2 linked regions of the Anolis sagrei genome follow. The protein of the gene in region 2 purifies or fractionates together with the protein of the main gene of each other region. This does not show direct contact. Links are inferred from orthologs where the notes say so. Each region holds a gene or a part of one and is shown on either strand. Other genes may lie near its edges.

Region 1 (6,103 bases), on a different chromosome or scaffold from region 2:
CCCCCCAATATAGCTACAAAAATTAGCCAAAAAGAAAAAGGGGAAAATTCTTAATTTATAAATTGTTTTAGAGCTTCTGGTTACAACCAGACTATTTCTCTATGCAACTCAATCTTTTCCTGTTTCCTCAATGCCAATCAAGAAACAGTTTGCCAATATCACTAGTACAGAACATGTTTTGCAGTCATTTGTAGCACTTGTAGATTAAAAGATCTAATAGCCTCATTATTCTATTCATCCATCTTACCTTAATACATATTTGTTTAAATCTCTTGCCCTTGAATTGTAAGGCTAACGAAATTAAACAATATAAGCACTCATTCATTTTTAATCAACAAAAAAATCGGTTGCATCAGTTTGGAAAAATACACTTTGTAGAACTGGCTGGAGGAACCCTAACCTACATACACAGGAGTAATTGCTACTTAACTGAAACTGAACCTTATACAGAACACTTCTAATCAACTTTTTAAAAGAAATATATAAAACACATAGACTTTAAAGATATGGCTTTACTTTTTTGGCTTAAGCTGCAACCTTACCACCACCACCACCACCACCCCCCCCCCCCCCCAGTGTATAAATACACCTAATGAAAGGGGAAGTTATAATGAAAAATTTAAAAATGGGTGAAAAACCAAGGAAAAAGTAAATGGCGAAGGCATTTGACGGGAACAAATTATCAGCAATCTAGCACTCTACAAGTAACACATTAATAAGCCACAAGGGGTCCACCGCAGCACTCCCCAAATAATAATAATAATATGTAAGAAAACGCTTGCCTTTCATGAGAAGCACTGTCTTTCATATTCTAAGGCCTAACATTCTGAAACAGCTCTGAGCTCCTCCTAAACAAGTACAAAATTTCCTCTTCCATTCCACCTCTTTTCACTCCAAGACTAGCCCGTCCCTCTACTTCTGCTCTAGAAAATTAACTCCTTGTTGTCTTCCTGAAGAAGTCAAATTAACCTGCCTACCAACAGAGCCAAGGGGTGCAATTCTTCCAGTTCTAGTACTTCCTCTCCTGAGGCTGAAGGTCTTCCTGTTTGTCTGGATTGTGCAAAGAAAAAGAGACAACCCCCCCCCCCCCCAAAAACCCTAACTCCTAACAACCTAATACACTACAGCACATGTGAAAGTATATTAATAGAAGACTATTGTCTAAATACAAAATGACCCAAACTCCTGTCTCATCTTGGAAGCTAAGCAAACTCAGCCCTGGTTACTATTTTGGAAGAAAAAACTGGAAAACTGGGTATTCCTTGCCATAGAAAACCCTCTGAAATTCATGTGGTCATAATAAGTGAACAGACGACTCGAAGATGCACACACATACACACGATCTGGACTTGGTTCATTTTCCCCAAAACACTTCCACAGCAAATGGGTAAGGTGCCTTTTTGGACTGTGACTCCCAGAATCCCCCAGTCAACAAAAAATAGCTGGATGGGGTATTCTGGGAGTGGCAGTCCAAAAGGATGAACCTTTCCCAAGCCCAGAAGGCCTGGTAATGAATATCAAGAACTGTTGTGTAACATTTTAGGCATATTAATAGGTTTTAACTGGTAAATTTTAACAATAACAACAAAAACAGCAAATCTAAGAAAATCCTATGAAATTCATAGGGTCATAATTGACATGAAGCACCATGGTCAGACATGGGACTCTTATCTGTAAACTGTTTCAAAAGTGTGTAGAAATGGAGATTTATGGAGTTGGGGAGCAATTATCTTATAGAAACGGCTGAATGTGCTTAATTTAATGTATGATAGGATCTTTCAGATTTGCCCGTTAGTGATGCTGAAGAGTGGGCGTTCCTGTGGGAGGTCTCCAAATGAGCATTGGTGCTCCTATTCTCACCAATAATCCTCTGCCATTATTTTTTGTGTAATTTTTAAAATATAAATTTATTCGTCAAGAATTTCACAATTCTGATGTATCACCACTTAGCTACTGCTATATTTTCCTCCTTTTTCGAGCCAGATTTTGGACTTCTGAAGTTTCCCCTTTTTTGACACCAGTTTATAAAGCCATTAAAGGAAAATATCTAGCCCAGTGAATCCCAGGCTCTAGTTCTCCAGGTGTTTTGAACACTATCATCAATATCATTTTGTTATATCTATATCCTGGTTTTATCTCAAATGAGATGCAAAACGACTCAAAAAAGAAAAAAAAAGCATTTAAAATCCAAGTATATCTCCTACTATGTACCTGAAAGGCAACTTCAATCGAGTGTGGGTGGGGGCGGGGACTGCTGACACCTCTACACCCATCCCAAATGCTGCTTAAAGCTACTCGAGAGAGGACCTTTTCTGGGAAGTCCCCAGCTTTGTGGAACGCCCTTCCTAGAGAAATCAGAGCTGCCCTACTCTTTTATCATTTAGGAAAGGAGTGAAAATCTTTATGTTTGAACAGGTCTTTAAGGGAAATTAAAATTGTAGATGGTCTCTAGAGCAGGCATGGGCAAACTTTTAGCTGTTAGGAATTGTAGGAGTTGAAATCCAAAACACCGAGAGGGATGAAATTTGCCTATGTCTGCTCTAGATTAAAGGATATGGGAATTAAGCTCTCAATATGGTTAATTAAAGGTTTTAAATATTTATATTGTATTTGTAAATAGGGCCTTATCACTGACAGTTTTAGATAATCAGGTTGCTATAAGGAATTTATCAGGTTTAAATCTTTCATTTTTACTTTGTTAAGTTTCTTATTGTATTGATAGCTGCTTTGAGTCTTGGTGTGGGAGAAAAGCGGGGTAAAAATCAACTCAGATAAAACAAATAAATAACATATTAAAATAGAATTGAACAAACCAGTCAATGAAAATCCCTGAAAACAATCCAAAACTATTCACTCTTCTTCTTCCTCAACTCCCAGAAGCCTCAGCTGCCCTGGCAAATGATCAGGGATTTATTTATTTTTTGTCGTGTCAGGAGCAACTTGACAAACTGCAAGTTGCCTCTGGTGTGAGAGAATTGGCCGTCTGCAAGGACGTTGCCCAGGGGACACCCGGATGATTTGATGTTTTTATCATCCTTGTGGGAGGCTTCTCTCATGTCCCCGCATGAGGAGCTGGAGTTGACAGAGGGAGCTCATCCGCCTCTCCCCGGATTCGAACCTGCGACCTGTCAGTCTTCAGTCCTGTCGGCGCAGGGCTTTAACCCACTGCGCCACTGGGGGCTCCATTTTCTGTGGGTGAGCAGATGGTGACTACTGGATGGAGTATGTTCTGTATCAGAAACTAGAGCTGATGTGGTCTATCCAATGCAATTTTCTGAATCTGCACCCCGGGGGCTCCTTGAATGTTTTATGTTCAGATTTTACATCATTGTACAATTCTTATTTGATTATGACTGGTTTAATTTATTGATGTTAGGTTCTAATGTTGCTGGAGTTGATAGAGGGAGCTCATCCGCCTCTCCCCGGATTCGAACCTGCGACCAGGGATTGTGGGAACTGGAGTTCAAACACCTGGAAGACCATAGTATGTGGGAAAGTTGTCTTTTGGGGCCGTCGCTTCCATAAAATAGCTGATTGGGGGGATTCTGGGAGTGGCAGCTCCAAAATATGAACCTTTCCAGAGTTCAGAAGGGCTGTCAACGAGTATCAGGCAATACAGATTACTTTAACAAACCAACTGTGAGCATTCCTCGTCTAAGAAAACCTTATTATATTCATTTATGCTAATGCCACATATTAGCATAAATAATAATAATAAACTTTATTTATATCCCACCACCATCTATCAATAAGAGGGAGGAAGCCTAGTCAATTAAATTAAAGAGTTTATCAAACGCCTTAATGCCAACCTCTGTTTAAATCTGGAGTTCAGATACTACAGCCCAGGCTCACCATAGGAGGGGGAATAAGGGACCTGAACAGAGGAAGGAAATCTGCCTGACGACAAGCGCGTCACGAGGGGAAAGCGACGCCCCCAGCAGCAAATAGGGAATCAGCTTTGGTGCCCCCCTCCCGCCCCCTGCAGTGCCCCTCAGCCAATCAGAAGGACCCAAAGGTTCAGGGAGATGGGAAAAGGCCGACTCGCTTCCCCGCCCGAGAAAACAGACACTCACCGCAAGATTCCCTTTCGGCGTCGTTCTGCTTATCCTTCCCTCTCCCCTCGCGGCCTACTTGCCTTCGCTGAGCGGCGGCAACAACAACGAAGACAAACCGTGACTGACGGCAACGACCGTCCCTCTCTGCTTTGAGGGCCGCGGAGAGGAAGTGCGTCACGCGCCGGAAGCGGCCGATTCAACCGCCGTAAGCTCCGCCCCCCCCTTAACCATAGATCTACTATAAACAAAGGGAAGAGTGAGACGTCATTGTGAAAATTCCAGGTTCACTCTTCCTTGATGTGTCTCAAAGTGGGAAATTCTGAGTTTCAGGAAACAGACAGAAAAAAAGGGAAATATCTTCTGACACATACATACATGAAAACTCTTAATCCCCACCCACATTTTATATATATGCGTGTGTGTTTGTGTATATATGAGGTTTTGTGCATGTGTTGTAATGTATTTTTTGTTTTTTGGTTTTTTAAGTCTCTTCTGCTGTGTTTTTCAGTTTTTGTTGGCCTGATAGGTGTCTTGTGTCCAAATTTGGTCTCAATTCGTCCAGTGGGTTTTGAGTTATGTTAATCCCACAAACTAACATTACATGTTTATTTATATAGATGGTCACTCATTGACTTGATAGGTGTATTGTATCCAAATTTGGTGTCAATTTGTCCAGTGGGTTTTGAGTTATGTTAATCCCACAAACAAACATTAAATTCTTATTTATATATTGATATCAATAATATTATAATATTATAATTTTGAAATATTTTAATAATATATTAATGTTATTATACTGCAATATTATTCTATTGTAATACAATAGTAAATAATAGTAATATAATAACACTAATATATATATAATGAATAATGTTGTAATATAATATATATTATATATACTACAATTTATGATATAATACAATACATTATTTAATACTAATAGTATAATATACTGGTGGTATATGTGTTGTGGTATAATACTACAATACAAGATAATAATATATAATAATATAATTATTATATGTTATATATTATACATAATATTACTAATTATATTCCAGTATAGTAGTATGGTACAATATAATAATATATAATACTAATATTGTACTATGCTAATAATATAATGTATTGTATATACATATATTACTAATATTTTAATGTAATGTAATATAATACTAATAATAATAAAATATAATATATAATAATAATATTGTAATATTATGGCTCGAGAGCAGTACATGTGAAAAAGATCTTGGAGTCCTCGTGGACAACAAGTTGTGACAACAAAAATGTGATGTGGCAGCAAAAAAAGCCAATTTTGGACTGCATCAATTCGAGTCTAGTGTCTAGATCCAGGGAAGTCATGCTTCCCCTCTATTCTGCCTCGGTTAGACCAAACCTGGAATACTGTGTCTAGTTCTGGGCACCACAAGTGAAGGGAGATGTTAACAAGCTGGAATGTGGTCAGAGGAGGGCAAGGGTCTGGAGAACAAGCCCTGTGAGGAGCAGCTTAAAGAGCTGGTCATATTTAGCCTGAGGAAGAGAAGGCTGAGAGGAGACATGATAGCCATGTTATAAATATGTGAGGGGAAGTCATAGGGAGGAGGGGGCAAGCTTGCTTTCTGCTGACCTGGAGACTAGGACGTGGAACAATGGCTTCAAAATACAAGAAAGGAGATTCCATCTGAACATTAGGAAAAACTTCCTGACTGTGAGAGCTGTTCAGCAGTGGAACTCTCTGCCCTGGAGTGTGGTGGAGGCTCCTTCTTTGGAGGCTTTTAAACAGAGGCTGGATAGCCATCTGTCGGCAGAACAGACAACTCTATAGAGTGGACAACTTGGAAGTCTCTGAACAGTGTAATGGACAGATCAAGACAACCTGGCAAAACACCACTACCTAAATGTGTGACTGTGGAGCAGAACTCTATATGCATTTGTATGCTTGTCCACTATGCCCTGCCTCATTTACAGAGGAAGAATTGTTGGACAATGCTGTTGCTGTTGCCCGTTTTTGGTCAAAAGATATTTAGCTGCTTCCTCTCCTTCTA
Region 2 (6,103 bases):
GCTGCCGCCCCTCCCTCACCCCCTCCTGCCCGCACCTCCCCCTCCCCCCCTCCCTCCCCCTTTTTCCTACCCACCTTTTCTTTCTGGAGTCTACCGCTAAAGATTAGGGGGGCAAGGCTTTCCTCTTTTGGGAAATTCAAAACAAAAACACCTGTTTCTGCAAAGTATTGTTTCCGTTGGAACCTGGGGAAAGAAGGAAGGAAGGAAGGAAGGAAGGAAGGAAGGAAGGAAGGAAGGAAGGAAGGAAGGAGGAAAACAACAAACATATTTTGGGACAGGAAGGAAAAAAACCAAGTTGGGCCCCATCTGCATTGAGAACTGAATGCCATTTCGAACCGGTCTTGAAGAGAGAGTTTGTGCAGGAGAAGCATACATAGCAGGCATGGGCAAACTTTGGTCTTGGAATTCAACTCCTACCATTCCTAACAGCCTTTCCTGTTCCCCTTCAGCCACTTAAGCCTCCAAGGGTTTTGGACTTCAAGTCCCACCATTCTGAACAGCCTCAGGCTCTTTCCTTTTCCCCTTCAGTTACTTAAGCCTCCAGGTGTTTTGGACTTCAACTCCCACCATTCCTAACTGCCTTAGGCCCTTACCTTTTCCCTCTCAGTCGCTTAAGCCTAGGTGTTTTGGGACTTCAACTCCCACCATTCCTAAGAGCCTCAGGCCCTTGTCTGATTCCTCTCAGCCGCTGAAGCCTCGACTCCCACCATTCCTAACAGCCTCAGGCCCTTGTCTTTTCCCTCTCCACCGCTTAAGCCTCCAGGTGTTTTGGACTTCAACGCCCACCATTCCTAACAGCCTCAGGCCCTTGTCTTTTCTCCCTCAGCCGCTTAAGCCTCCAGGTGTTTTGGAACTTCAACTCCCACCATTCCAAAAAGACTCAGGCCCTTTCCTTTTCTCCCTCAGCCGCTTTAAGCCTCCAGATGTTTTGGACCTCAACTCCCACCATTCCTAACAGGCTTAGGCCCTTTCCTTTCCCCTCCTCAGCCGCTGAAGTTTCCAGGGGTTTTGGACTTCAACTCCCACCATTCCTGACGGCCTCAGGCCCTTTCATTTTCTCTTCAGCCGCTTAAACCTCCAGGTGTTTTGGACTTCAATTCCCACCATTCCTAAGAACCTCAGGCCCCTACCTTTTCCCCCTCGGCCGTTGAAGGGGAACTTCAACTCCCACCATTCCTAAGAGCCTCAGGAAAGGTTCTCAAGAAAGGACCTGAGGTTCTTAGAAATGGTGGGAGTTGGAAGTCCGAAACCCTGGAGGGAAGGCTCAAGTTTGCCCATGCCTGATACATAGGAAGCAGTCTGATGACACCAAGCACTGAGTGAGTGGGGCGTTGGAACCTGGGAAAGGAAGGAAGGAAGGAAAGAAGGAAGGAAGGATAGGGAAATAAAACAAACATATTTTGGGTCAGGGGAAAAAAAACCCATCTGCATTGACCACTGAATGCCACTTCGAACCGGTCTTGAAGGAAGAGTTTCCCTGTGCAGGTGAAGCAGACCTAGGAAAGGAGTTGGATGACACCAAAGTGGGGGCGCATTCATTCCCTGGCCAGTGGAGACGGGGCCTTGGCCCGACGGCTGGAGAGAGAGGGGGAGGGAGAGCTCCCTCTATTTCTCTCCCTCTCTTCCTCTCTCTAGACCCCCTCCCCTCCCTCCCCTCCCCGGCGAGTCTTTGGGGCCCTGTCCAGTTCCTTCTCTGTACAAAAATAGCGGGGCGGAGGCGCGGGGAAGGAGTTCACGGAGAGTCTGCACCCCGCTTGGTCCGTCCATCCGTCCGCCCCGGGAGGGGAGCGTGGGGGTGGGTGGGTGAGTGGGGGGCATGGGAGGCTCACATGTGGGAGAGCGGGAGCGTGCCGTTGAGGGCGGCCCCGGGCCCCCCGGCGCCCTGGTAGTGGGGCCCCAGGTGGAGTCTGCTGGCGCTGCCGGGCTCGGGCGCCTCGGCGGCGGGGAGGTACATGCTGATCATGTCCCGGAGGTCCCCGGCCTGGCAGGGGGCGCGCGCGTGGGCGGAGGCGCTGCCCACGGGGGGGCTGGAGGAGCTGGCCTCGCTCTTGACCACGGGCCCCATGGCGGAGAGCGGCATGGCCCCGGGGGGCGCGGAGGAGCCGCCTTGCTGGGCGTAGGAGGCGGCGGTGGGCATGGCGCCGTAGCCCGGCGAGCCGTTCATGTAGGGCTGGGCGCCGTACTGCTGGAGGGCGCTCACGTCGTAGCGGTGCATGGGCTGCATCTGCGCGGCGGCGGCGGCGGCGGCGGCGTGGGCGTTGAGCCCCGGGTGCTGCGAGTAGCCCAGCTGCTCCTGCATCATCCCGTAGCCGCCGTTGGACCAGCCGTTCATGTGCGCCGCGTAGCCGTCCATGCGCTGCTGGGCGCACCCGCCGGGCCCCAGCGCCGAGCCCGCGACGCCCACCCCGCCGCCCAGCCCGCCCGAGCCCGCCGCCGCCGCCAGCAGCCCGCCCGGCAGCGTGTACTTGTCCTTCTTGAGCAGCGTCTTGGTCTTCCGCCGCGGGCGGTATTTATAATCCGGGTGCTCCTTCATGTGCAGGGCGCGCAGCCGCTTGGCCTCGTCGATGAAGGGCCGCTTCTCCGCCTCCGAGAGCAGCTTCCACTCCGCGCCCAGCCGCTTGGAGATCTCCGAGTTGTGCATCTTGGGGTTCTCCTGCGCCATCTTCCGCCGCTGCCCGCGGGACCACACCATGAAGGCGTTCATGGGGCGCTTCACCCGGTCCGGGCTGTTCTTCTGGCTGTTGGCGCCGCCGGACACGCCGTTGTTCCCGCCGCCGCCACCGCCGCCCGCCGTGGCCGTCGCCTGCGGGGCCGCGGCCTTCAGCTCCGTCTCCATCATGTTGTACATGGCGGCCAAGGGGAGAAGAGGCCCAACACCCCAAGGAGGGGAACGACGAGGAGGGGAAGCGGGCAGAGGGGCAGCCAAGCACACAGTCAAGGAAGGAAGCCCACAAGGCAGGAAAAGTCAGAAGTCGGGCTGCTGGGGAGGGAGGGTCGGAGGGAGGGAAGGAGAGGCTGCCCCCCCAAGCAGCAGAGCCTCCCTTCACCGACCAGCCTCTTCCTCTTCTCTTCCTCTTCCTCTCTCTCTCTCTGCCAACAGCGGCCTTCCTTCCTTCCTTCTTTCCTTCCTTCCTTCCTTCTTCGGGTGGCTACTCTCAGGCTACTCCAGGAGAATCATAACAAAGGCGCCTGGGAGAAAGTCCTGCTGGAGAAAACTTCTTCTTCTTCCGTCTCCCCTATTCTTTCTCTTCACTCGGCGCCCCCTTTTTTTCCTTCCTTCCTTCCTTTCCTTCTTTCTTTCTTCCTTTCTTTCTTTCGGGAGCTCTTAAGTCTTAAAGAGCCCGCAAAGGGAGGAAAATGGGGGGGAAAAGTCTCTGTTTCCCCCTGTTTTGTTTTGTTTTGTTTTCTTTCTTTCTTCCCAAACTCTTTCTTTCTTTCTCTCTCTCTCTCTCCTCGCCTTTCTCTCTCTCTCTCTCTCTCTCTCTCTCTGCCTTGACAACTCCTGATACTTTTTTGAACAAGTTAATAGACAACCATCCATGTGATGGGGGGCTTGTCAGGGAATAAATGCCTTCGCCTCGGCCAATCAGAGCTCGCCCGGCTCCTCCACTGAGCGCCGGCCTCGGATGGGAGTTTTGCATGAAAGGGGGCGGGGCTTCTCTCACTCACTCACTGCTCCCCCCCCCCCCCCCATACACACACACACTAGTATCCAGCCGTGAGCGGCTTCAGGGCGGGGAGGCGGGACATGGAGGCTGCCACTCAAAAGGGCCCCTCCGAGCTCCTCTTTGCAAAGCAACAGGTCACACACACGCCTCGGGGAGGGAGGGGGGAAGGAGGGAGCGCGCAAACGGCCGTGTGGACGCGTTCAACAACAACAACAACAAACAACGGCAACGGCTTCACTTGAGTGCGGGCTAGAGAGGAGGAAAGGGAGGTTGCCCCTTGGCTCCCCCCTACTCTTCTCTTTTAAGCCAGGCCCAGAGAGGGAGGGAGCCTTCTTGGCCCCACTTCTCCCTGTGGACGCGCGTGGGCTCTTCCACCCTCCGCGGTTGTTGGGCTTTTCTTCCCAGGCTGAAAGCAGCAAGTGAGAGCTCCACAACCCACTTGCCTTGCTGCTTTCAGCCTGGAAAGAAAGGCCTCGGGCCCACCCCAAACCTGCCCTGGCCTTCTCAGACAAGGGTCCCTTGGCAAGAAGGAAACTCTCTCCTTGGCTTTTGTCCCAAACTCTCAGCTCAGCCAGGGAGACCCGTGGTCCACCCTACTGGTTCTCACTGAGCTTCCTAAAAAGGCTTCTTGAGGACCTGGTTGTTAGCAGAATAGTCCCTGGGAAGTCAACCTGGAAAGAAAGGCCTCGGGTTCACCTCAAACCTGCCCTGACTTCTCAGACAAGGGTCCCTTGGCAAGAAGGAAACTCTCTCCATGGTTTTTGCCCCAAACTCTCAGATCAGCGGAGGAGACCCTTGGTCCACCCTCCTGGTCTCCACTGGGCTTCTTAAAAGGCCCTCTTGAGGACCTGTTTGTTAGCAGAACAGTCCCTGGGAAGTCAACCTGGAAAGAAAGGCCTCAGGCCCACCCCAAACCTGCCCTGGCCTTCTCAGACAAGTGTCCCTTGGCAAGAAGGAAACTCTCTCCTTGGCTATTGCCTCAAACTTTCAGCTCAGCGAGAAGATCCTTGGTCCATCCTCCTAGTCCTCACCGGGCTTCTTAAAAGGACCTGATGTTAGCAGAACAGTCCCTGGGAAGTCAACCATAAGAGGGGCAGATGCCACCAAGCCTCCTCTTCTTCCCAAACTGGGCCTCCTCAACCAGTTTAGGGATAGCCTTTCCTCCAGATTATCACACAGCCCTCCATGAAATAATTAAAAGCCTTTCTCTACCCCCTTCAACATTTTCTTCCTCACATGGAGGAGGGATTCAGTGCAAACACACACACACACAGATACCATCTCAGTGCTTCAGAGTCACAGAATCTCCTTTTTTCCAGCCAGAAACCCTTCCAGCTCCAGCAACCTCCTCCCTTCACATTTCCCCCAACTATTTAAAAAAAGTATTTTAAAAAGGTGCCATTATTTCCCTCCTCAAACAGCCCTAGGAAGCAGGTGCACAGGTCCAAGAACAAGTAGGCTTTTAAAAGAAAGAGGTTCTGGAGAGGGAGCCAGGGGGGTAGCTGCAAGGCATGGGATTATTTTAGCACTCATTAAGTCTTTTAAAGAATTTTAATCGATTTGGTTGTTTAATTCTATTTTAATACTTGTATGTTAAAGATATGAAATAGCACTTTTTAAAAAAAATGTTGTGAACCACTTTCCACCCCAATCTAGAGACAAAGGCAGGATACTAATAATAATTATGGTGATAATAATAAATAACAAGGAGAAGAGGGGGCACAGGCACACACATCCATGTTCCCTCCCTGAGCCCTTGTTTTTGGGGGTGAAGAGAGGTAGGAGCCAGGAAAGGCGAGGAGGCAGAGGAACTCTTCTATTCTGTGGATTATTGCTAGATATTAGACATACAGCTCAGGGTGCATTTACAGTAGGCACGGGCAAACTTGGCCCCTCCAGGTGTTTTGGACTTCAACTCCCACCATTCCTAACAGCCTCAGGCTTCCTTTCCCCCCTCAGCCCTTGTGCCGGCAGGACTGAAGACCGACAGGTCAGAGGTTCGAATCTGGGGAGAGGGTGGATGAGCTCCCTCTGTCAGCTCCAGCTCCCCGTGCGGGGACATGAGAAAAACTTCCCACAAGAATGGTAAAACATCAGAATATCCTGGCGCCCCCTGGGCAATGTCCTTGCAGACGGCCAATTTTCTCACATCAGAAGCGACTTGTAGTTTCCCAAGTTGCTCCTGACACAAAAAAAAAGTCCTGAAAAATTCGGCAATCACTAGTGGCTTTCAGTTTTGTTGCAAATTCGGGGGAAAGGGTCCCACTCTTCTGCCCTTATTTTTCACTTATTTAAAATTTTCCAAGCAGATGCTGCCAGCCACATTTGTGTTTTGGGAAGGGCGGGCGAGTGAGGAAAGACCCCGCAAGCCCACCTGCTCAAAAAGCACCCCCTTACCCCTGAGTAACGAAGCCAGGATGTTTCCCCCCCCCCCC

The links. The genes of interacting proteins can lie anywhere in the genome.
Region 1: the proteins of SOX2 (region 2) and DNAJB6 purify together in Homo sapiens (affinity purification with mass spectrometry; 3 studies listed by BioGRID and IntAct, with this or other methods). This does not show direct contact. The link is inferred for Anolis sagrei from reciprocal best matches to the Homo sapiens genes SOX2 and DNAJB6.

The regions. Positions count from the first base shown.
Region 1 is NC_090026.1:119,106,411-119,112,513, forward strand, and holds the start of DNAJB6 (dnaJ homolog subfamily B member 6), read right to left. Parts: upstream 4,247-6,103; 5' UTR 4,074-4,246; intron 872-4,073; exon of another isoform or gene 783-871; intron 1-782. UniProt on the Homo sapiens protein: Has a stimulatory effect on the ATPase activity of HSP70 in a dose-dependent and time-dependent manner and hence acts as a co-chaperone of HSP70. Plays an indispensable role in the organization of KRT8/KRT18 filaments.
Region 2 is NC_090023.1:258,758,950-258,765,052, reverse strand, and holds SOX2 (transcription factor SOX-2), read right to left. Parts: upstream 3,611-6,103; 5' UTR 2,849-3,610; coding exon 1,826-2,848; 3' UTR 1,764-1,825; downstream 1-1,763. UniProt on the Homo sapiens protein: Transcription factor that forms a trimeric complex with OCT4 on DNA and controls the expression of a number of genes involved in embryonic development such as YES1, FGF4, UTF1 and ZFP206. Binds to the proximal enhancer region of NANOG.